2 linked regions of the Notamacropus eugenii genome follow. The protein of the gene in region 1 purifies or fractionates together with the protein of each later gene. This does not show direct contact. Links are inferred from orthologs where the notes say so. Each region holds a gene or a part of one and is shown in the gene's direction. Other genes may lie near its edges.

The links.
Region 2: the proteins of PPP2R2D (region 1) and PPP4C purify together in Homo sapiens (affinity purification with mass spectrometry; 3 studies listed by BioGRID and IntAct, counting the BioPlex papers as one, with this or other methods). This does not show direct contact. The link is inferred for Notamacropus eugenii from reciprocal best matches to the Homo sapiens genes PPP2R2D and PPP4C.

Annotation. Positions count from the first base shown.
Region 1 is NC_092872.1:289,971,001-289,981,464, forward strand, and holds the start of PPP2R2D (serine/threonine-protein phosphatase 2A 55 kDa regulatory subunit B delta isoform), read left to right. Parts: upstream 1-5,736; coding exon 5,737-5,743; intron 5,744-5,913; coding exon 5,914-6,024; intron 6,025-10,464. Other genes in the region: uncharacterized protein, read right to left, coding at 5,153-5,738. UniProt on the Homo sapiens protein: Substrate-recognition subunit of protein phosphatase 2A (PP2A) that plays a key role in cell cycle by controlling mitosis entry and exit. Involved in chromosome clustering during late mitosis by mediating dephosphorylation of MKI67.
Region 2 is NC_092872.1:46,809,918-46,820,005, reverse strand, and holds the start of PPP4C (serine/threonine-protein phosphatase 4 catalytic subunit), read left to right. Parts: upstream 1-5,780; 5' UTR 5,781-5,905; intron 5,906-6,179; 5' UTR 6,180-6,285; coding exon 6,286-6,383; intron 6,384-8,797; coding exon 8,798-8,849; intron 8,850-9,919; coding exon 9,920-9,970; intron 9,971-10,088. Other genes in the region: ALDOA (fructose-bisphosphate aldolase A), read left to right, coding at 16-176, 713-796, 904-1,078, 1,240-1,439, 1,675-1,770. UniProt on the Homo sapiens protein: Protein phosphatase that is involved in many processes such as microtubule organization at centrosomes, maturation of spliceosomal snRNPs, apoptosis, DNA repair, tumor necrosis factor (TNF)-alpha signaling, activation of c-Jun N-terminal kinase MAPK8, regulation of histone acetylation, DNA damage checkpoint signaling, NF-kappa-B activation and cell migration.

The DNA of each region.
Region 1 (10,464 bases):
TTTTCTTTAAATAAATTATTTATCTATCTATCTTTAGTTCTCAACATTCACTTTTATAAGATTTTGAGTTCTAAATTTTCTCCCCCCCAACTCAGCTTCCCACTCCCAAGCATGCAATATAATATTGGCTATACATGTGCAATCATATTAAACATATTTTCACATTGGTCATGTTGTAAAGAAGAATTCGAATAAAAGGGAAAAATCATGAGAAAGAAGAAACAAAACAGAGAAAGAGAGAGAATAGTATGTTTCAATCTGCATTCAGAGTCCATAGGCTCCTGAGGTTCCTGAATATGGGAGTGACAGAATCTGATCTGTAATTAAGAAGTATCACCTAGTTTCAGTTCCCATGTGCTGAATGATCATCTCCATCCAGATGAAGCCCAGGTTTCGTTATCCACCTGAAGCCCTTTCTGACCTCAAGTGTTGCTCCTTCCACCGCTTGCAGAATATTGCCCCTGGAATCACAGACTCACAGAGTCAAAGGATCTGGATCTGAATGAGAATCCATCCCCTCCTCATCTCTACAACATACTCCATATTCTACTTTTGCCTGAAGACCTGGCACATGAGAGAAACCACTACCTCCTGAAGACATCTCTGTAGGAGAGGGTGGCTTCTAAGTTGTCCATCCATTGTTCCAGGATCTGTCCCCAGGAAGAAAACAGAACAAGTCCAATCCTTCTTCCACATGGCAACCCTTCAGTTACTGGGAGGTGGCTCTCATTTGTCTGAAGAGTCTTCTTTCCTCTAAGTTAAACATCCCCAGGTCTTACATTCAAGGTACAACCTTGAGGTGCTTCTGATTGTCCTGAACATCCTCCTCTGGACCCTCTCCAAATAATCAATGTCCTTCCTCAATGCACAGCCTTCCAGATTGGGGACTGTCATCACCTCTGGACCTGCATGCCACATGCTGAGCAGGCATTCAAACTGCCGTGATATTCCTAGTGGCCACAAAGACTGGTGACTCATTTGGATGAACCAGTCCTCCCCCAGCTTGTATTTGTGACCCCAATGTACCAATTCTTCCTACTAAATGCCATCTGATTGAATGTAGCCCAGTATTATAGATCATTTGGGATCCTAATTCTGCAGCATCCAGCTTGTTAGCAATCCATCCCAGCTTTATGTTAAGTCGGGTATATGATAAGCATGCCAACTAATCTATCTCCCCCTCCAAAAACTGTAAACAGCACACACCTCTAGGGTACTCCATTAGAGAGCACCTTCCAAACCATTATCATTAATTACCACTGGTTCCAGCCATTCAACCAATTCTGAATTCACATAAGCATACTTTCATGTAGCCCACATTTCTATATCTCTTCTACAAGAAAAGCATCAACGATGTTATTGAACACTGAAATCTAGGCCAACTGTATCTATAGCATATGTTTAGTAACCTTACCAAAGAAAAGAATGAGGTTAGTCTGGCATGAACAACTTTTGCTGAAGCTTCCATATTATTAAATCTTTGCGGTTACTGCTTCCTTTTCTTGGTGTTCACTAACCATCTCTCTAATGATATGCTTTAGAATTTCAAGAGGCATTGAAGTCTACTCCACCTGCCTCATGATGGTAGTCTGTTTATTCCCCTCTTTAAAAATAAACCAGGTCATTTGTCTTTCTTTAATCCTATGATCTATCTGCCCACCTCATTCTTTCAAAGGATCTTTCAAAGATTGGTGACTTTGGTTCTGCAATCACATCAGCCAGTTTTTTCAGGACTCAAGGACACAAAGTTCATCTAATCCAATCATCCTATCCTCTTCATCATCAAGGACATTCTTAGTCTCTTCCTATCTTAGGTATCCCCTTAATTAATACTGCCCTTGTCTACCACACCTCTCCACTTGGCAAGGGAATCTTCATACTTACAGGAAATGGTGATGTCTGTATTTATGTCTATTCTTTTATCCATTTCGCACTTTTCAACAATGGCTGGTTAAATAGGTCAGCATGGATCTGACAACCTCTCAGGTGCCCTCTAGTATCTGATGACCCTATGTACTACTTAGCCATGCTTTTCTTCTGTCTTTTGCCATCTAAACATTATTATCCCTTCAATTAAAACAGAAGAAAAAACACAATTGAAGCAGTTCTGCCTCCTTCAGTCTTAAGTTTTCAGTCTTCTCCTGAAGACTCTGGAGAGTAGGCCAATCTTGGCATCCTCCTCTTCCCTTCATGAAGCCAAAAAATGCCTTGGACTTCCTGAGCTTTCCTGGATGGTCTCAGCTTTGCCTGAGCCTTCACACTTGCCCATATCCTGACTGTGCTCTTCTGTGACCTTGTATTCACTCAGCTCAGTGCTCTTGATTCCAAGTTCTAAATATTCCTTCTTTCAGAATTTCAATTGCTTGTTGTATTCTCTGAGCACCCACATTCATCTTCTTTAGAAAACTTTCTTTTTTATCCTCACAGGAATTGCTCTTTGGAAGTGGAGAACTTCTCATCCCTTCTGAGCCTCTACTAGGCTTCTATCTTTTTGGGAACCCTTTGAAGTCTGCCCTTCTGAAACACAAAGTGCACGTCAGCCCCTGCCTGGCTTTCCTCTCCCCTTCCATAAACTCTAATGTGAAGTGGTTACTTCTTTCCAAAGTTACTCATCATTTCTACCTCAGCAACTTAGAAGCCTTCCTTGTGCATAAGAATCAAATCTGGAATAGAATTTCCCCTCATTGGTATTCCACTGTTTGAACCTTGTCCCAGGCATCTCAAACTCCAAATGTCCAAAATAGAATTATTTCCCATTACACCCTGACAAACTTCCAGCTTTCCTTTGTCTGTTGAGGTCACTCCTCTGCTTACAATCATTCAGGATCATAACTACAGAGTCATCCTGGTCTCTTCCCTCTCCTACCCCCACTTCCCATCTATTAGCAGGCTTTTTAAATTCCATCTCCACAGCATGACTCACATCTCTTCTTTTCTAAGGGACAGATCTGTCCTTTTCTAAGGTAGCTGGTAGGACAGTGGGCAGAGATATGGGCCTGGAGTCAGGAAGACTTAAGCTCAAGTGTGGCCTCAGACATTTATTGACTGGGTAATCCTGGGCAAGTCACAACCTCTGTTTGCCTCAGTTTTCTCAACTCTAAAATAAGGATAACCATAGCATCTACCTCACAGGGCAGTTGTGAGGATCAGATGAGATCATATTTGTAAGAGCACTTAGCATGGCAACTAATACACAGTAGGCATTTAATACGTATTTATTAATTATTGAATGTTTGCTATAAATGTTTACTCCCCTCTTCCATTTCTCTCTATCCACACAGTCAGCAGTCTTGTTCCAACCCTTACCAATTCAAGGCTGGACCTTTGAAAGGGTCTCCTGATTGGTATCCCTGCTCCTAGGATCTCCCCTCACTGATCCATCCTTCACACAACTGGAAAAGTCCTATTTCTAGGATATCTCCCTGACTTGGTCATTCTTCTGTTGTACAAAATCTTTGAGTGACTTCCCACTATCTCTAGAACAATACAGACACACTCTTCAGCCTGTTCTTCTGAGTCCCTTTTCAAACTAACTCCATCTTATTCCCTTTCATGCCCTTTTATGTTCATTCTTTGTTTTCAAAGAAGACCATGACACCAGAGAAATGATTACATGACTTGCCCTTGACTTTGTTTTGAGTGAGGGAGAGCTGTGCAAGGTCACCAACCTCACTTTTTCCTCCTGAGTCATCTGGGTCCAGTGACCAGATATTCATCAGGATGACTGGAGATGGGCCAGGATGCAGTGGGAGACCTTGGCCTTCTTAGGCTGGCCTTTTCAGGTACTCATTTAGAGGGAAGTAACACCCACTGAGTAACTAGGCCTCTTTAAGAAGTAGTCAGGGAATGGTCCTTTTAATGAAAAAAAGAAAAACAAAGAAAAAAGAAATGAATGACCAAATGAATAGGACTACTTGTAGAATTTCCTGAATGTAGGACCTGAATGTGGACCCAATGCCACACCTTTGGACACACTCTCTAGTCTCCCTCAAGATCTGTGAGAATCCTTGGCTTCCTGAGGAATCAGATCAGCCATTGGCTTCCTCATACTACCTTTTTATATCTCTCAGGCCTCAAATGATATTGTATGCACTCATCTGTGTTCATTTGGTATCAATCCATCCATAAACATTTATTTAAAGAAAAGGCTGGATGGCTGACCACTCATAGGGTGAGCTGGAGTGGGGATTCAGGCTGTGTTCAGGTGCAGGTGGGACCAGATGACCTTGGGGGCCCTTCTAAGTAAGAGATGTGCCTGTGTCTTACACAGACAACATGGATGAACAAGGGTTTCAAACTGTGGGCTACTGTGGAGCCAGCTTTAGACACTTCCTAGCTGCGTGACTCTGGGCAAGTCACTTTACCCTATTTGCCTGTTTCCTCATCTGTAAAATGAACTGGAAAAGGAAATGGCAAAGCACTGTAGGACTTTTGCCAAAAAGACTCCCACGTGACTGAAAAGACTGAACAACCAGAACAAAAGTACTTTCAACAATAACTACCCTGACATTCATGTGGGCGCTTTCAAGTTTTCAATGGCCTCACATACACGATGACTAGAGGTGACCTTGCAGCCGAGAAGGGCTCTGAGTTCAAGTCCTGCCTTTAATAAAAAGAGTTGACCTCGGACAAATCACCTACTCTTTGTGTTCTTGGCAAGTTATTGATCAGCATCCGGAGGAGAGTTTCTGTAGGGAAGTTACCCATAGGGATAAATTATGAATGATGAACTTACAGCCTGGGGATTCTGGGATTCCCCCATATTCAAAGGGAGACTCCTTGTCTCCTACGTTCCTCCAGGGCCCCGGAGTGAGTGCCCAGTGGGAGACCCTCAGCCCAGGGGGGTGAGGGGAAGGGAGGGCACAGAAGGAGGACCCTGCTGCAGCCCTCACCTGCCCCCTCTGAGGCTCAGTTTCCTCACCTGTGAAATGGATTTGGGGACCTCCAAGACCCTTTGCATCTCTTTGCCTGCAAAGGGGCTCTCTCCTCCCCTGCCTCTGCCTCCCCCTTTCTTCTCCTCTCCCCTTCCCTCCTTCCCCTTGCCTTTCTCAAACACCCCTCCCCCACTCCGCCTCTGCCTCCCCCTTTCTCCCCCCCTCCCCTTCCCTCCACCTCTCCGCCCCTCCCTTCGCCGAGGCTCCTCCCTCTTTACCAGGCAGGAGGAGCACCGGGCGGGAAAGGTAGCGGGACTCGGGAAGGGTTCTGGGAAGGAGGCCGTAACTTGAGGTGAGGGGAGCGCGACCCCCAACGGAGGATAGGGCCTGGAGAGGAGCCGGGGCGGGGCCTCGGAGGCGGAGGTGTAGGGGAGCGGAGCCTTCTGAGCAGGTGTCGGGGCGTGGCCTTTGGGGGGCGTTGCCTCGGGGGCCGCTGGGGAAGTGAGGGGCGGAGCCTCGGGAGGATGGCTCGGGGCGGGGCCACGGGGCAGCGTATAGGGAGAAGCCTCGGGGCCGGCGTCGGGGCGTGGCCTCTGAGTAGCGTATGGAGCGCAGCCTTAGGAGGAGCGCTCGGGGGCGGGGCCGACCGGGGGCGTGGCCTCGAGCGGAGGGCGGTGACGCCATCGGTCCGGGCGCCGGCTCGGGGCGCCATTTTGCGGGGGGAGGCGGCGCTCGGTCCGCGGCGGCAGAGGCGCGGGCGGAGCTGCAGGAGCCCAGCCGGGGCCCCGCCGCCGCCGCCCACCCCGGCCCGGCCCGGCCCCGGCCCCGACCCGCCGCGCACTCCGGGCCTGGCTTGGCAGCCATGGCAGGTGAGGCGCCGTCCGCCCCCCCCTCCCCTCCCTCCCCTCCCTCCCCCAGCTCTGCCCCGCGTCCCCCTTCCCCGCTCCCCGGGTCTCCCCCCGCCGTCCCTGCCCGTGACCTCCGCGTGACCCCGTCCCCCCTCCCCGACTGCGCTGACCGGCCCGTGCGCTCGTTGCAGGAGCCGGCGTGGGCGGCGGCCCGGGCGGCGGCCCGGCTGCGATGGGCGGCAGCGACCTGCAGTGGTGCTTCTGGCAGGTGAAGGGCGCCATCGACGAGGACGTGGCCGAAGGTAAGGGCGCTCCCCCTTCCCCCCCGCGCCCCTCCCCGGGCTGGCCACTCGGACCCTTGACGCTCCCCCGGGGCTGGCCGCTCGGACCCTGCCCCGGGCTCGGGCTGAGGGCTCCCCTGCCCCCCTCCCCGCTCTGGTTCTCGGGCCCTGCAGACCCCCATTCCCCCGGCTCCGCCTTCACTTTTAAGGAAGGGGGGCGCTGTGAGTTGTTGTGTTCATCGTATCGGTCGCTAAGCGTCGTGAAGCGCTCCCCGTCTGCCGAATTCCCTTCCGATGGGAGCCCCAGGGTGCGTGTCCGGGGGTTGGGGGTCCCCAGGGGACACCCCGTGTGGGGGCCAGAACGGACCCGCCGGGATCCGTTGAGGTCACTGAGGGGGCTGACCCAGGCCCAGAGCTCGCAGAGGTCAGCATTCGGGTGAGAGCTATCTCAGTTGGAAGCCGAGAGGAACAGGTGAGAGGACTAGGACCGTGAGGCCAGGTGGAAGAAGAGCAGACTAGGCCGATGGACAGCAGGGAGCAGAGGATTAAATGGGGGTGGTTGTTTTTGGGGAGCAAGGGAGGAGACCGTCGGTGCGAGGAACGGGGACAGGGGGCAGTCTGCTGGAGAAAACAGGACCGAGGTTGTGTGGATGGCAAAGAGAGGGGCCTTCGAGAGTTTGGAGAGGAGGAGATAAATGGAGGCAGGGCCTGGAGGAGGGAAGAAGGGGGAGGCAAAGTCAGGGAGGATGGAAGAAGGAGCTGCAGGAACAGCCACCGGGGAGACTGTAACTTCATTTGTAGTAGACTGAGTCAGCTGGGTTTCCAGACTTTCATTGGCTCTGTCCACGTGTGCAGAGGGTCTGAGTCATTCAGGTTTGGCAGGGCATGAGGGAAGAAGCCATGGGAAATAGGAGTGGAGAGTTGAAGGGGTTGCCCTGGGAGTCTAGATTAGGAGTAAAGGAGGCAGAGAGCATATGGTCTGGGTAAAAAAATTGTATTTAGTAAAGATCACAGTAAGCATTCTTTAAAAGCATTGGGTAATGGGCATCTGGATGACCACAAACAGAATGGTGTCTAGTATTTTCAACACACTCAGTGGAAAAGACAAAAGATTCTTTTTTGTTTTCCTCTCATCTATCAGCAGTGCTCCACAAAGATACTTGGTGAAGAGACAGTGGGAATTCCTTTGGGTGCCCCCATCATCCACTGCTGTAGCATGGACTTGGCTCCATTTGAAAGCAGAGAAGGGAGGGAGCATCCAGGTTCATAGAAGGCACATCTGACTTCCAGGGCCATGGCCCATGAAATCCCTGCATCTTTTTTGAGACCTGGCCCTTGCCTCTTGGTGACCCTAACCTGGGACAAGACTCCATATCTGGCACTGTGTCCCATGGCACGCTACCTTTTTTTTACCTCTCTCTCTCTGTTCCCTCCCCCTTCTTAAGATTTGGCTCCTACATAGGGATTCTCATTGAGCCCCATGGGATGCTAGGTATGCAGCCAGAGACGAGAACTTGCTCCATCCTTTCTGCTGTTCCTATTTCCTCCCCATCTGCCCCCTAGGAAAGTGTGCCCCAGTCAGAGGAACCACCCAGGATAAGGGAGATCCATGGTCTCCAATATACATTGAACGTTGGTTCAGTTTTTGTCGCTGATTTCATTGTCTCACAAAAACTTGCCAGTAAAATGACATTTATTTGGACAAAGAGCTGCCTACCCTGACAGGAGGAAGGTTGGCACCAGCCCCAAAGCTCCCTTGGTCATCATCACAGTTTCAGGCTGATAGAGAATGTGTTTCTTGTGGAAAGAGGAGAAACCTTTGTTATATAATGTGGCCTTCCAAGGTCATTGAGGTACATGTGTGTTCTGGTGCCAGGTAGGCCCGTGGAGCCTCCAAGTGTGCTTGGTTTCTGAACTTACGTGATTCACTTGGGGATGAAAAGATATTTTTCTAGAGGTTTTAAATCCACGTAAAGAGAATGTCTTCACTTTTAAGGTACTTCTCAAAATGACATCTACTAATAATAATTGGGAAATTCCTCTTTATCAATCTAAGTTTGATTAAGGAAGCACCTTCATCTCAGCTCAGTATTCACAGTAATTGAGCAGTCAGTGGGAAGAGAAAGTCCTGAACATTCATTCACACAAATATAGACACCAGAAAGTGAAGTTGAGCTGGAAAGGGCCATTGAAGGTGAATCTTACTTGTCCTACTTGGGCCTTGTAACCTCCACATCAAGTTGGGCTTCTAAATTGACTGGCTTTGGGGAAATGATATTCCCTTAGTTTTGCATCTATGTAAGTGGATTATTTTGTCTCATGATATGTGGAATTTTGAATCTTTTCCCTCATTTTGCCATCTGCATTTAGTGAGCTTCCTTAGGAAAACTTTAGTTTCAAGGCTATAAGGCATTAAACTCTCCTATGAGTTCCATCTTTAGACCCAATTTGGATGAAAGTCATAGCAAGTACCACTAGCCAAGAGGGCCTGCACATTTGTAGCATGTTTTCAGTAATTCCCTCTTGAGCCAAACTGCCTCATTTCCCAGGTGGTGATTTTAGGACATAGAGAGGAACTTTGAAAAAGGAGTGGGAGTAGATAGGAAGTCAGTACCTCTTGGCAGAGAACTTAGGAACTGCCATTGCTGGTCCATTGCAGGGGCCTAGAAGCATTTACAAGTTCATTGAATGCAGAATTGTCTAAAAAGAAAAACAGCTTCTTGGTATTTTTCAACTAATGACAGTTTGGCATTTCATAACAAAACCTTAACTTTATTCATTTTGTGTGGACATGGAAGAGGTTCTTATTCTTTGAAAGGTTTCCATTTTGATTCCTATCTTTAACTTGAATTTTACAATGTAGTTGTCAGAAGCATATGATACAAACCATCATTGGGGAAATCTGGCCTGCTGGCAGACTGTCTAGTAAATCCTTCTATCTAGCAGGTCCATGTCTTTTGAATTCAGAAGGAAACTTCTCTTAGTGAGAATCAGTTTCAGGATACTGTTTGTGCCTCATCATTACTAATAATTGGATTAATTTGTTAACATATTTTGAACATAGAGTATTTGAGGCTAGGTACTACACCTCAAGTAAAGAATCGCCTCCCAATGCAGTGCATAGGCTTAAAAGATGAGGGCATGGAGAAGGTTCTTTGCCCTGCCAGGATGTGGCAGAGACAGCTGGAAGAGAGGTTGGCTTGTTGTTGTTCAGGGGAGACATTGGTTTCTTCTGTGTGAGGCTTGTTTTTCTTCACTCAGAAATCTGTAGAGGGGCTGTCCTTGGGTACTTCTTAGGCAACTAAATATTCATTTTATTTAACTATGTGTTCGTTGTTGATCTGTTGTTTCAGTTGTGTCCTGCTCCTGTGACTCCTCATGGGGTAAAGATGGTGGAGGGGTTTGCCATTTTCTTCTCCAGTTCATTTTATAGGTGAGCAAACTGAGGCAAACAGATGGAAGTGACTTGCCCAGGGTCACACAGCTAATAAGTGGCTGAGAGCAGATTTGAGCTCAGGAAGATGAGTCTTCCTCATTCCAAATGGCCCAGGGCTCTAACCATTGTGCCACTTAATTACTTAGTTGTATAATATAGGTTGCTGTCTTCAGAAGAGGTGCTGAGCTGTATTGGTAGAGGGAATTTCCCAGACCTAGGAAAAGGCAGGTCCACAATCTCTCCTTTTGCTGAGTACATCAGTGACAGCTGCTCGTGGAGTGGGTACCTTGATACACTGTGTGGCTTCGTTTCTGTTGGGTTCAGGTTTGGGCTCTCAAGAAGCCTTTTCTGCATCTTCAAAGATTCTAGCAGCAATTTACTATTTCCCCTTTTCCTGCCCTCTTCTTTTCCATTTTTGTACAAACTTTATTTGTCCACACTTGGAAGGCTCCCTGGGAGCAAAGCCCCTCCTCTCTTCCTCTTCCCTTGGGAAGAACCAGGCTCGGTGAAGGTACATAGTAGGTGCCTAACAAATGATTTTGAATAATTGATCTGTGGCCTTCTTTGGAAAGAGTTCTAGGAGGAAGCTAGTGACTGACCTGGGTGTGGGTCACTCCTGGATGCTGCCACCTAGCCCCTCTCTCCTAACCCTCCAGACTGGTCTCTTCCATGGCCCAGAGCACTTTCCTAGTTCTCTTCCCCCCTTCATCATAATTCACATTTCATGGTTATAGTTAAAAATGCTTTCTTCCTGACAAACTTGCACTGACACTTGTTATGCATAGCTCCACTTTACAGGTGGAGAAATGAACAGTTCAGCGTTCTGTCCAGGGCGCTGTAATTGAGAAACATTGTCAGAGTCCAAACCCAAATCCAGGTTTTTTGACTGCCAGGTCGGGGCTTGTGGTGGTAACTGACACAGCCCTGGAATGTTCTTGGCCAGTTCTCACCTGGCAGTGCTGGTGACCCTGATACCCAGATGAGTTTGTTTGCAGGTGTCCATTTATTGGTGTGTGCTGTTGGAG
Region 2 (10,088 bases), about 240 Mb from region 1:
TTGTCTCACTACTAGGTCTAGATGGGCTGAGTGAGCGCTGTGCCCAGTATAAGAAGGATGGAGCTGACTTTGCCAAGTGGCGTTGTGTACTGAAGATTGGGGATCATACACCTTCCTCACTTGCCATCATGGAGAATGCCAATGTGCTGGCCCGATATGCTAGCATTTGCCAGCAGGTGGGTACCTCCTTACCCTCCCCCTGCCTTATTCTACCATATTCCGAAACAGTTCCTTTCAGTTCTAGAGAATGTCAGCAAGCTGTTGAAAAAACATCAGCTATTGCCCCTGTAGCAGTTGGTACTAAATTCTCTGATTTGGGTCCTGAGAAGGTGGGTATCCTAGGGATTTTCAGTTTGCCTGAGATACAGCAAAACAAAAGAAACTGTAAAGCAGCAGTGTGATAAAGTGAGGGACATGCCAGGTTTGGAGTATTTTAGCTCTGATACTAGCCATATGATCCTGCACCAGTTATTCTGCTTCCTCAGCTGCTGGCCCTGTAAAATGAATAAACGATAATTATCATGAGGGACTGGTTGGAGGCAGATAGCCATCTCTCCCTGAGATCCTAAGTGTTTGGAAATTTGAGGAATTCAAGATTTACACCTGTCATTATGAAGATAAAGTCTATGTCTCTATTTGTTAACAGCCAAGGAGGCCTAGAAGTTAGCCCCAGGTAAGGGAGGCCTTCACAGCCTTGTCCTTTGCTTTATAGAATGGCATTGTCCCCATCGTGGAGCCAGAGATCCTCCCTGATGGAGATCATGATCTGAAGCGTTGTCAGTATGTCACTGAGAAGGTAAGAGATGTGAGGAATCACTGGAGAGTGACTGGGAAGGAAGTAGTAGATCAGGAGCTAGTGCTAGTGATTTCCTACTTAACTTTGTTGTTTTGCCATTTTTCTAGGTCCTGGCTGCTGTCTACAAAGCTCTGAGTGACCACCATATCTATCTGGAAGGGACCTTGCTGAAGCCTAACATGGTCACCCCTGGCCATGCCTGTACCCAGAAATATTCACATGAGGAGATTGCAATGGCAACTGTAACTGCCCTTCGCCGGACTGTACCTCCTGCGGTCACTGGTGAGAGAAATCGATTTCTCCCTCAGTATTTATTACCCATGGTTTCTTTCACCTTGGGTCACATGCGTTCTCTTCATTTTTTTTTTTTAAGGAATGCTTGTTACCAGCACTTTTTTATATACTATTTGATATTTCTTTCATCTCTTTTCTGCTTTCCATAGGTATCACCTTCCTCTCTGGGGGTCAGAGTGAAGAGGATGCCTCCATCAATCTCAATGCCATCAATACTTGCCCCTTGCACAAGCCATGGGCCCTGACCTTCTCTTATGGCCGAGCCTTGCAGGCATCTGCTCTCAAGACCTGGGGTGGAAAAAAGGAAAATGTCAAGGCTGCCCAAGAGGAATATATTAAGCGGGCCACGGTGAGAAGGGACAAGGGAAAGAACCAGGATCAGGGACCTTGACAGGCAGGATTCTGGGAACATAAATTAACAAGGGGTCAGGATTGGGGAAAGGAGAAAAGAATAAGTAGTCTTCAGTCCCTTCTGGTGATGCAGAGCTTATCTGTGCTTGAGCTGGGTCTGTGGTGTCATTGAGGGTAGGATCCAGAACTACCAGCCTTTCTCATACTTCCTTCTTTCCCTTTTCCTTCACTAGGCCAACAGCCAAGCTGCTCAAGGCAAGTATACTCCAAGTGGAAAGGCAGGAGCTGCAGCCAGCGAGTCTCTCTTTATCTCTAACCATGCCTACTAACTTAAGTCAAGGCCTTCCAGCTGGGTATGCCCTAACACTCCAGGCCATCCCTCACAGTCCAGGAAGAGGCTGAGATCCCAGAGCTTCGTGCTGACCTGTCCCATCACCCCTCATTTGTGCGGTATTGTTGCTCTCTGGTGAATCTAGCGACCCCTCCTCAGCCCGCTTTTTCCAATAAACAACTATTTAACAAGGAGTCTGGTGCCTGTGATAGGGCAGGGGTGACTTTCCCTTTGGGGTGCTTGGGTCCTTCTGTAGCTTTGTACTGTCTTGTCAGGGCAAGGAAAACCAATCTCTGCCTAGAGCAAAAAAAAAAATCATCTTTATTAACCCCCTGTGAGGAGTATGGGGGGGGGGGGGGAGTGTTGTAAATAGGAAATGGGTTTTCTAGCTTTTAATACAAACTCTAAATTAGCTGTGGATCATTGGAGAAGAGAGTATCATCTTCCCAAGGGTGTGTGTAAATGGACATACTCATTTTGCCAACCAAATCTCCCCTTCCCCAAGAGCAAGATTCCCTATGGAAATATTGATGTGGGTCACAATTGAGAACTATTTGGGAGCTCCAGGACCAATTGTTTACCCGAGAGGTGTTCCTTATCATGCCAGTTTGCTCTTGGCACTGACTTGGGCATAGATGTCAAGATGGGTTCCCAGAAGTACTCAACCTCTACAAAATCAAGATTGTTCCCAATCACTACCCTTAGATATCTCCTATAATATTTGTAGGGTGGGTTTTTTCTTTTCAAAGAACTATGATTGACACTGGTATGTGTCATGAAGAAATCACCAGGGAATTTTGGGACCCTGTCTGCCAAAGCAAATGGGGTTCAGTTTTGTGCATCTTAAGTTAGATGGCAGGTGTCTGCCCCTTTCATTCATCTAGGGTGTCATGGTAGAACTCGTTAATTTTCTTTCCTTGGCATAGATCTTGCTTGGAACCAGTTTCTAGTCTATTTTCCTCACATTGGCAGTGGTACATGGAAATAGGAGAGAGTCAGGCTGCAATCATGTGCTTTTTCTGCCAAAGAATGAAGCAGCAGCTTGATAGGGTAGGGAAAAACAGTGGATTTGTAAGCACAAGGGCTAAGCATTTGGTCCTTCCCATTACTAGCTGTGTAATCTTGGACAATAAGACTGTTAAAGAGCAATAGAAACTTATGTCTGGGACAGACTACTAAGTCAATAGCACCTTTATCCCAATGTAAATTTGTCCCAAATTTAAGTCAATCCCTACAAATTATCCACCTGTGACTGCTTTTTATAATAAATTCAGTCATTCTGCCTAGAAAAGCTCAAACCAAAAGAGAACTTTGGGTTTCCTATTGCCAAATATAAGTCCTTACATATTTGTGAGTAATTAGTACACATTTGGCTATATTTTTATTAGGTTTGACTTGTTTCTCATAGTTACTGAGCATCTTCTATACAATGTAACACACATTTAGGATGTTATTTTAAGCCTCACATTTTAGGATAGGTATTTACAAGTTGAGACCATTCAGAAGAGTAACCAAAATGGTGAGACCAGAAATCAAAAATCTTCAATTTAAAGAAATGTGGATATTTAATTTGGAGGACAGAAAGGTGGAAGAACTAGGGGTTATGGCATGATAGTTCAAAAATAGAGAATTTTTATATAGGAGAAGGATTGTACTATTTTTTATGGCTCTAAAGAGCAGGATTGGGAGTAATGGAAGTTAACAAGGTGCTGATTTTGGAAGTAAACTTAAAACTATAGTTAAAATGGAATGGACTGTCGTTGAGAAGAGTTTCTTCAGCATTTGGAGGATGATCATTTATCCTAGATTCCTATTCAGGCACGAATTGCGCTAGATGACCTGTGAGGCCTATTTCAGCTCATTCAGTGTACAAGATCACCTAGCTCAACTGCGTAAGTTTCAAAGAGGGAGGTGTCTTTGTTAAATTTCAAGGAAAGAGTATAGAATCCAGCTATCCCGATTCCCAAACTGGGATTTCTCTATTTCATTCTTAAAGGATCTACAGTTTAGTGGAGAAGATATATCAAACAAGTAACTAGTGTAGGATACACAAACATAGCGAACAGTTTTGGCCTTGGGAGGCAAGAGATAGGAGATGGACTACGAAGTGTTTTGTGTATCCCATAGGCAAGTCACTTAAAGCTTTCTGAATCTTGGTTTTCTCACCTGTGAAATGGAAATTCATTACTTATACAACCTGTCTCAGTTTCCTATTATGAGGAGAAAAAACATGGCAAAATATTTGGTGCCATTCTAAATGTTAGTTTATTAGTTGGCAAATGCCACAACAAAGGATGCTTATAAGGGCAAGTAGGTGGTGGATAGGTGCTGGACCTGGAATAAGGAAGACTCACGGATCTGAGTTTAAGATTTGGCCTGGACACTTAGGTGTGTGATCCTGGGCAAGTCACTTAACCCTGTTTGCCTCCATTCCTCAGATCTTTGAAACATGAGCTGGAAGGGCAAATGGCAAAAGTTCACTGCAGTATCTTTGCCAAGAAAACACCAAATGGGCTACGACTGAACAACATAAAGGGAAAATGCTATAGGTTTCAGGGAAGCCCACACAAGGTCATCCTGCAGAGATGGGCAAGGTTCTGATAGGTGGAGACAGCTGGAGAGAGGAAGGGAGGCCCTGCAGGACTGCTGATGGGGAATGAGGAGATGGGGAGCTGCTGGAGAGGAAGGGAGGCCCTGCAGGACTGCTGATGGGGAATGAGAGGAAGGAGATGGGGAGCGGCTGGAGAGAGGAAGGGAGGCCCTGCAGGACTGCTGATGGGGAATGAGAGGAAGGAGATGGGGAGCTGCTGGAGAGAGGAAGGGAGGCCCTGCAGGACTGCTGATGGGGGAATGAGGAGATGGGGAGCTGCTGGAGAGAGGAAGGGAGGCCCTGCAGGACTGCTGATGGGGGAATGAGGAGATGGGGAGCTGCTGGAGAGGAAGGGAGGCCCTGCAGGACTGCTGATGGGGGAATGAGAGGAAGGAGATGGGGAGCGGCTGGAGAGAGGAAGGGAGGCCCTGCGGGACTGCTGATGGGGGAATGAGAGGAAGGAGATGGGGAGCGGCTGGAGAGAGGAAGGGAGGCCCTGCAGGACTGCTGATGGGGGAATGAGAGGAAGGAGATGGGGAGCTGCTGGAGAGAGGAAGGGAGGCCCTGCGGGACTGCTGATGGGGGAATGAGAGGAAGGAGATGGGGAGCGGCTGGAGAGAGGAAGGGAGGCCCTGCAGGACTGCTGATGGGGGAATGAGAGGAAGGAGATGGGGAGCGGCTGGAGAGAGGAAGGGAGGCCCTGCAGGACTGCTGATGGGGGAATGAGAGGAAGGAGATGGGGAGCTGCTGGAGAGAGGAAGGGAGGCCCTGCAGGACTGCTGATGGGGAATGAGAGGAAGGAGATGGGGAGCTGCTGGAGAGAGGAAGGGAGGCCCTGCAGGACTGCTGATGGGGGAATGAGAGGAAGGAGATGGGGAGCAGCCCTGAGGGGAAGGCGTGGAAAGCGGTCACAAAGGCCCTGCCCATGGTCTCAGACTAGGGCCCGGAAGACGAAACATCCGTGAAAGGGGCCCGTAGTCCCATTCCGGCCCACAGCCCTAAAATCCCCCATGCGGCCTATTCTCCGAGAAGAGAAGCCGCAGGCCTTGGAGCCCCGGAGTGGAATCCAGGGCCTGCCACTAATTAGCTGTGACCTTGGACAGGTCATTTCCGCTTTCTGAGCCCCACCTTTCTCAAGCGTCTAATACACATAGTCCAGCTGCAATGGTTCCTAAAACTATAATAATACAATCTGCTCTCCCCTATCTTCCGTAGCGCTTTCGGGGAGTGGACTAAGATCGCAGGGATCTGGGCGGGGCCTAGTAATGACTCGCATTGGAAGCCCCTCCTCAGACTCGCGCTTCAGGGATTACTTCCGCTCTCAAGGACAACATCCGGTTCCTTTGCCCGATTTTTTTCTGAAGACGGGAGGGGTGGGGCGTCGAACCTCTGACGCTACTTCCGCTGCGCGACGGAAGTGGACTTCGGCTTCCGCGGCGGGGCCGGAAGCAGCGGCAGCAGTGGCGGCCGGGAGCGGACGGAGGCTCGAAGGTGGAGCCCGGAGCCCGCGGCTCGAGAGTGGAGTCCCGGAGCCGCCGCGTCGGTAATAGCCTCAGGAGTTCTCTCTCTCGCCCGTGGGCCGCCGTCCTGCCCTCCCGGCTGGCCCCTGGGCTCCGCCGTGCTGGGCTTCTCCCCTCCCCAACCTCCCGGGGATCCCGGGCGGCGGCCGGAGCGGGGCACCGGGCCCGGCCTAGGGCCTGCGAGGGGTGGGAGGCGGGGGGACATCTGCGGGGCCCCGAGCTTGGGGAGCCCGGGGGTGGCGCGGGCCACATTGTGTGTCTGACCCGCTGACCCTGTCTCTTCACCCTGGTTTCCAGGAGACACCCCGTGCGGGCGGGCGGAGTAGGGAGGGGCTCGGACCCCCGGGCGCGTCTCCCCCCCCCGCCCCCCGCACCGGGGGGGGCCGCGTGAGGCGGGGGGACCATGGCGGAGATCAGTGACCTGGACCGGCAGATCGAGCAGCTGCGCCGCTGCGAGCTCATCAAGGAGAGCGAGGTCAAGGCCCTGTGCGCCAAGGCCAGGTGAGCCTCCGCGCCTCTCGCGAGGCCGGCGCCAGCCACCGGGCCGAGTCCGAGGGTGTCCATTGTGGGGGTCAAGCTTAATGCCTACGGAGGGCGGCCAGGTTGCCCCTGGCAACTGTGTAATGGTAAAGTCATTAGGGAGACCTTACTGAGGCCTCAGCCCGGCGGGGAATAAATAAAACCGTCCCACCCTTCAGGAAGGGAGCCCCTCATCTCCTGGAATAAGCAGGATGAACAGGAAGCCCTGGCTAGAGCTGGGTTTTGTATTGGGCCGTAAGTTCCTGTAGGAATTCAAAGAGATCAGGGAGGGTGGTCAGTCAGTCAGGGCTTCTTGGAAACAGGTGAGACTCAAGCTGGGCCTTTGCATTAGATGGAAGCTGGTGGACAGGGAAAGCAAAGTAAATGATAGGACAGCAAGGTGGCAGGAGTGACATTTAGTGTGGACTAGGAACAGTAAGAGGGGCTTTTGATTATGGGCGACCTTGAAAGCCACATAGCTTAGGTTCGATGTCTGGATATAGCTGAAGGTTCTTGAGCAAAGGAGTGACATGGTGAAAGCTTTGTTAACCAGTTAGACTCATGTGGACGTAGAGGGGAACATTGGGGTAGAATTTAAATCTTACCCTGAAAAAAAGCTGAGTGTGAGCTATTATGTCCTGACTTGTAGGTTAGGATTAAAGGAGGGACCCACAACCCCTAAGAAATCAGGAATGTTTGGTTAGGTCCAAGGTCTTGCAGTATTCGTTTCCCCATGTTTGCCTTGGTTACCTGTAATAGCCAGATTGGAAGGGACTGCTCTGCTGTCCCCAGTGGACAAACTGCATATAAAGAGATAGGCCTGTGCTGATATCTAGGACCTTACTCTTCCTCAAGATTTTACAGAGCACCATCCCCGCCCCTGGCACCATTCTTTTACTAGTTTGAGATCCAATGGACACTCGTTTTGGCCTTTGGTATAGCACCAGATGAGACACTATTTGACCCCAGGTTTTGGACCTTGACTTTGAGGAAACCTATCCTCTTCCTCTGCCCTGCTTCTCCAAGACCCATACTAACTCTTGAGCTTCTCCATCCTCTTTTCTTCTAGGACCCCTAGAAAAAAAGAGAAATTTTAAAATTCATTTATTCATCTAAGAATTCTGTGAAAAATGCCCTCCCTACTCCCTCTCTCTCCAAAAAACAAAACAAAAAAAGGCAGTTCCTACCACAAAAGAACGTATAATCTAGGGTGAGTGGGTATACATGATATATGGAATATATATATAATATATATGTAATATATATACTCATGATATATGGAATAAAAGACCAAATGTGTACTATACTCTAAGAGGTATAGGCAAAGTACTCTAGGGTTTCAGAGGATGCACAAATGTGAACTGGAGTGATCTGGAAAGATATCCCAGAGAAAATATGGTGTTAGAATTAGGTCTGAAAGGAGTTAGAGAAGGACTTGCATGATCAAAAGTGTATTGGTAGGGAAACAAAAATGACTTTGGGAAATGAGCAGTTCCCCAGTTTGGCTGAAGTTATGTGAAGTAGTACTGGATGAGCTGGGAACAGACGTGGTTTGAAATCAGAAGTCTCATCTCTGTCACAAACTTTGTGACTTTTGGCAAGTCACTTTATCCCTTCTCTGTCCACCTCAGTTTTCCTCCTCTCTGGAATGGAGATTTGGACTTAGATGATCTCTTTGATTCAAGTCGGATATTCTGAGATGGGGTGGCATCTGAGCATAGGAATCCATTTTGAATGGCCAGCTGAAGGAGTTTGGACACTTGCCTGTTAGGATACACAGGTGCCTAGGTGTCCTTACCTTTTCTTCTTATCTCCCTCTTCCTTCAAGATACAGCTCAGGTGCCAACTCATACACAAGATCTTTCCTGATTCTCTCCCCTCCTCCAGTTACCATACTCTCAGTTTTGATTCCTATGTGTTATTTTGCATATCCTTTGTATTTATGTGTTTGCATCTGTGTCGGTCTCTCCCCTGTAGAATGTAAGCTCTTTGAGGGCAAGTACTTTTTTGTTTTTGTCTTTGTATCCTCTTCCCTCTCCCCCACACTTAGTATAGTATCTTGAATGTAGTAGATAATGTAGCTTAATAAATTTGAATTGAATTGAGATTTTTGAACAAGGAGCTAGTGATACCCTGAGAACTATACTCTATGGAAAGATTGTTGTCATGATCTATCATAGAGGAGGGGGCAGAGAGAACAGAGAGTCTCCTGATCCACTTGTGAGTCCTTTCTGGGTGCTGGTACTCTTGTGCTTCTCACAGTGATCCCTGAAGTCTTTCCAGGCCAGCTCTGTAGGCCTCTGGTAAGGCAGGGTCAGACCTGGCCTTGAATAGAGGTAGGGAGTGCTGCTCTGGGGCCTGATCTGGCTGTGACAACCATCTCCTTGTGTCTTCAGAGAGATCTTGGTGGAAGAGAGCAATGTACAGAGAGTGGACTCCCCTGTCACGGTAAGTAAAGCCTTAGCCCTTCCCCCATCCCTAAATCAAGGCTGGTTTATGCACGTATGCCCATCCCATCAGACTTGACCTGGCACATAAACACCCAATAAAGAGTTTAGTCTTTCACAAATATGCACACACATAGCGGGAAAGTGCTGTACTAGGAGTCAGGGGGTGTGGGTTTGAATTTTGACTCTGCTACTTAGTACTTGAGCATGACACTGCACCACTCTAGGTCTCAGTTCCTTCATCTGTAAAATAAGGGAGTTGGGCTAGATCAAGGGTTCTTGCCCTTTTTTGTGACAGGGAGCTCTTTAACAGTCTAGTGAAGCCCTCTGAACTCCTCAGAATCTATATTTTTAAATCTAAATTTTTTAATTTATTGGATTACAAGGGAAATTATTTTACACTGAAATACTTATCAAGATACATTTTTTAAAAAAATCCATGGACCCTCTGGTTAAGAACTCTAGGACTAAATATCTAGTCTCCTATGCTAGATGCCTTCAGGTTCTAATTGTTGTAGTCCTACATATTTCCTTTGGCCTGGTTTTACACTTCCATATACACATACATGCATTTGAAGTCCAGCTTGGTCACTAATCCACATGGAATTAGGTTTCCCTTTCATAGAGGCCTGGCCACAGAATTCTCTAAACTCAGACTCTTGCTTGCTAGAGTCTTACTGTGTCGTTGTTTCACTTCCTTTGCCATCATTAAAGTAACATCACACCAGTTGTTAATGGGAAGGAGTTTGAGATCTAAGGGGACCTTGTGGTTAGGGCAGAAGGACCTGATCTGGACACTGAGCCAGTTTACCTGACTCTGCTACATATGCACTGGGTTAGTTAACTCTGCAGGCAATGCTGGGTTAGGCAAGTGCTCTGCTCCTTTCTTAGCTGCCTGCTGGCTTCTTGTTGGTTTTAAGAAAGGAGGGCTAGGTTGAATTCTAGCTTTGTCACTGCCTGACCTTGGAGCAAGGCTCTGGGTCTCAGATTCTTACCTGTAAAATGTGGAGTTTTGACTAGATGTTCTCTCAGGTTCCTTCCATCTCTGACATTCTGTGATTCTTACCCCAGGTGTGCGGGGACATCCATGGACAATTCTACGATCTCAAGGAGCTGTTTAGAGTGAGTTTGTGTGTGCATGCTGGGATGAAGCTGAGGGATGCTGGGATGAATTCTGAGTCTTGAATTTTGTAGCAAGGAACAGGTTCACAATTGTCTGGAAATCTTCTTTAATTTGGAA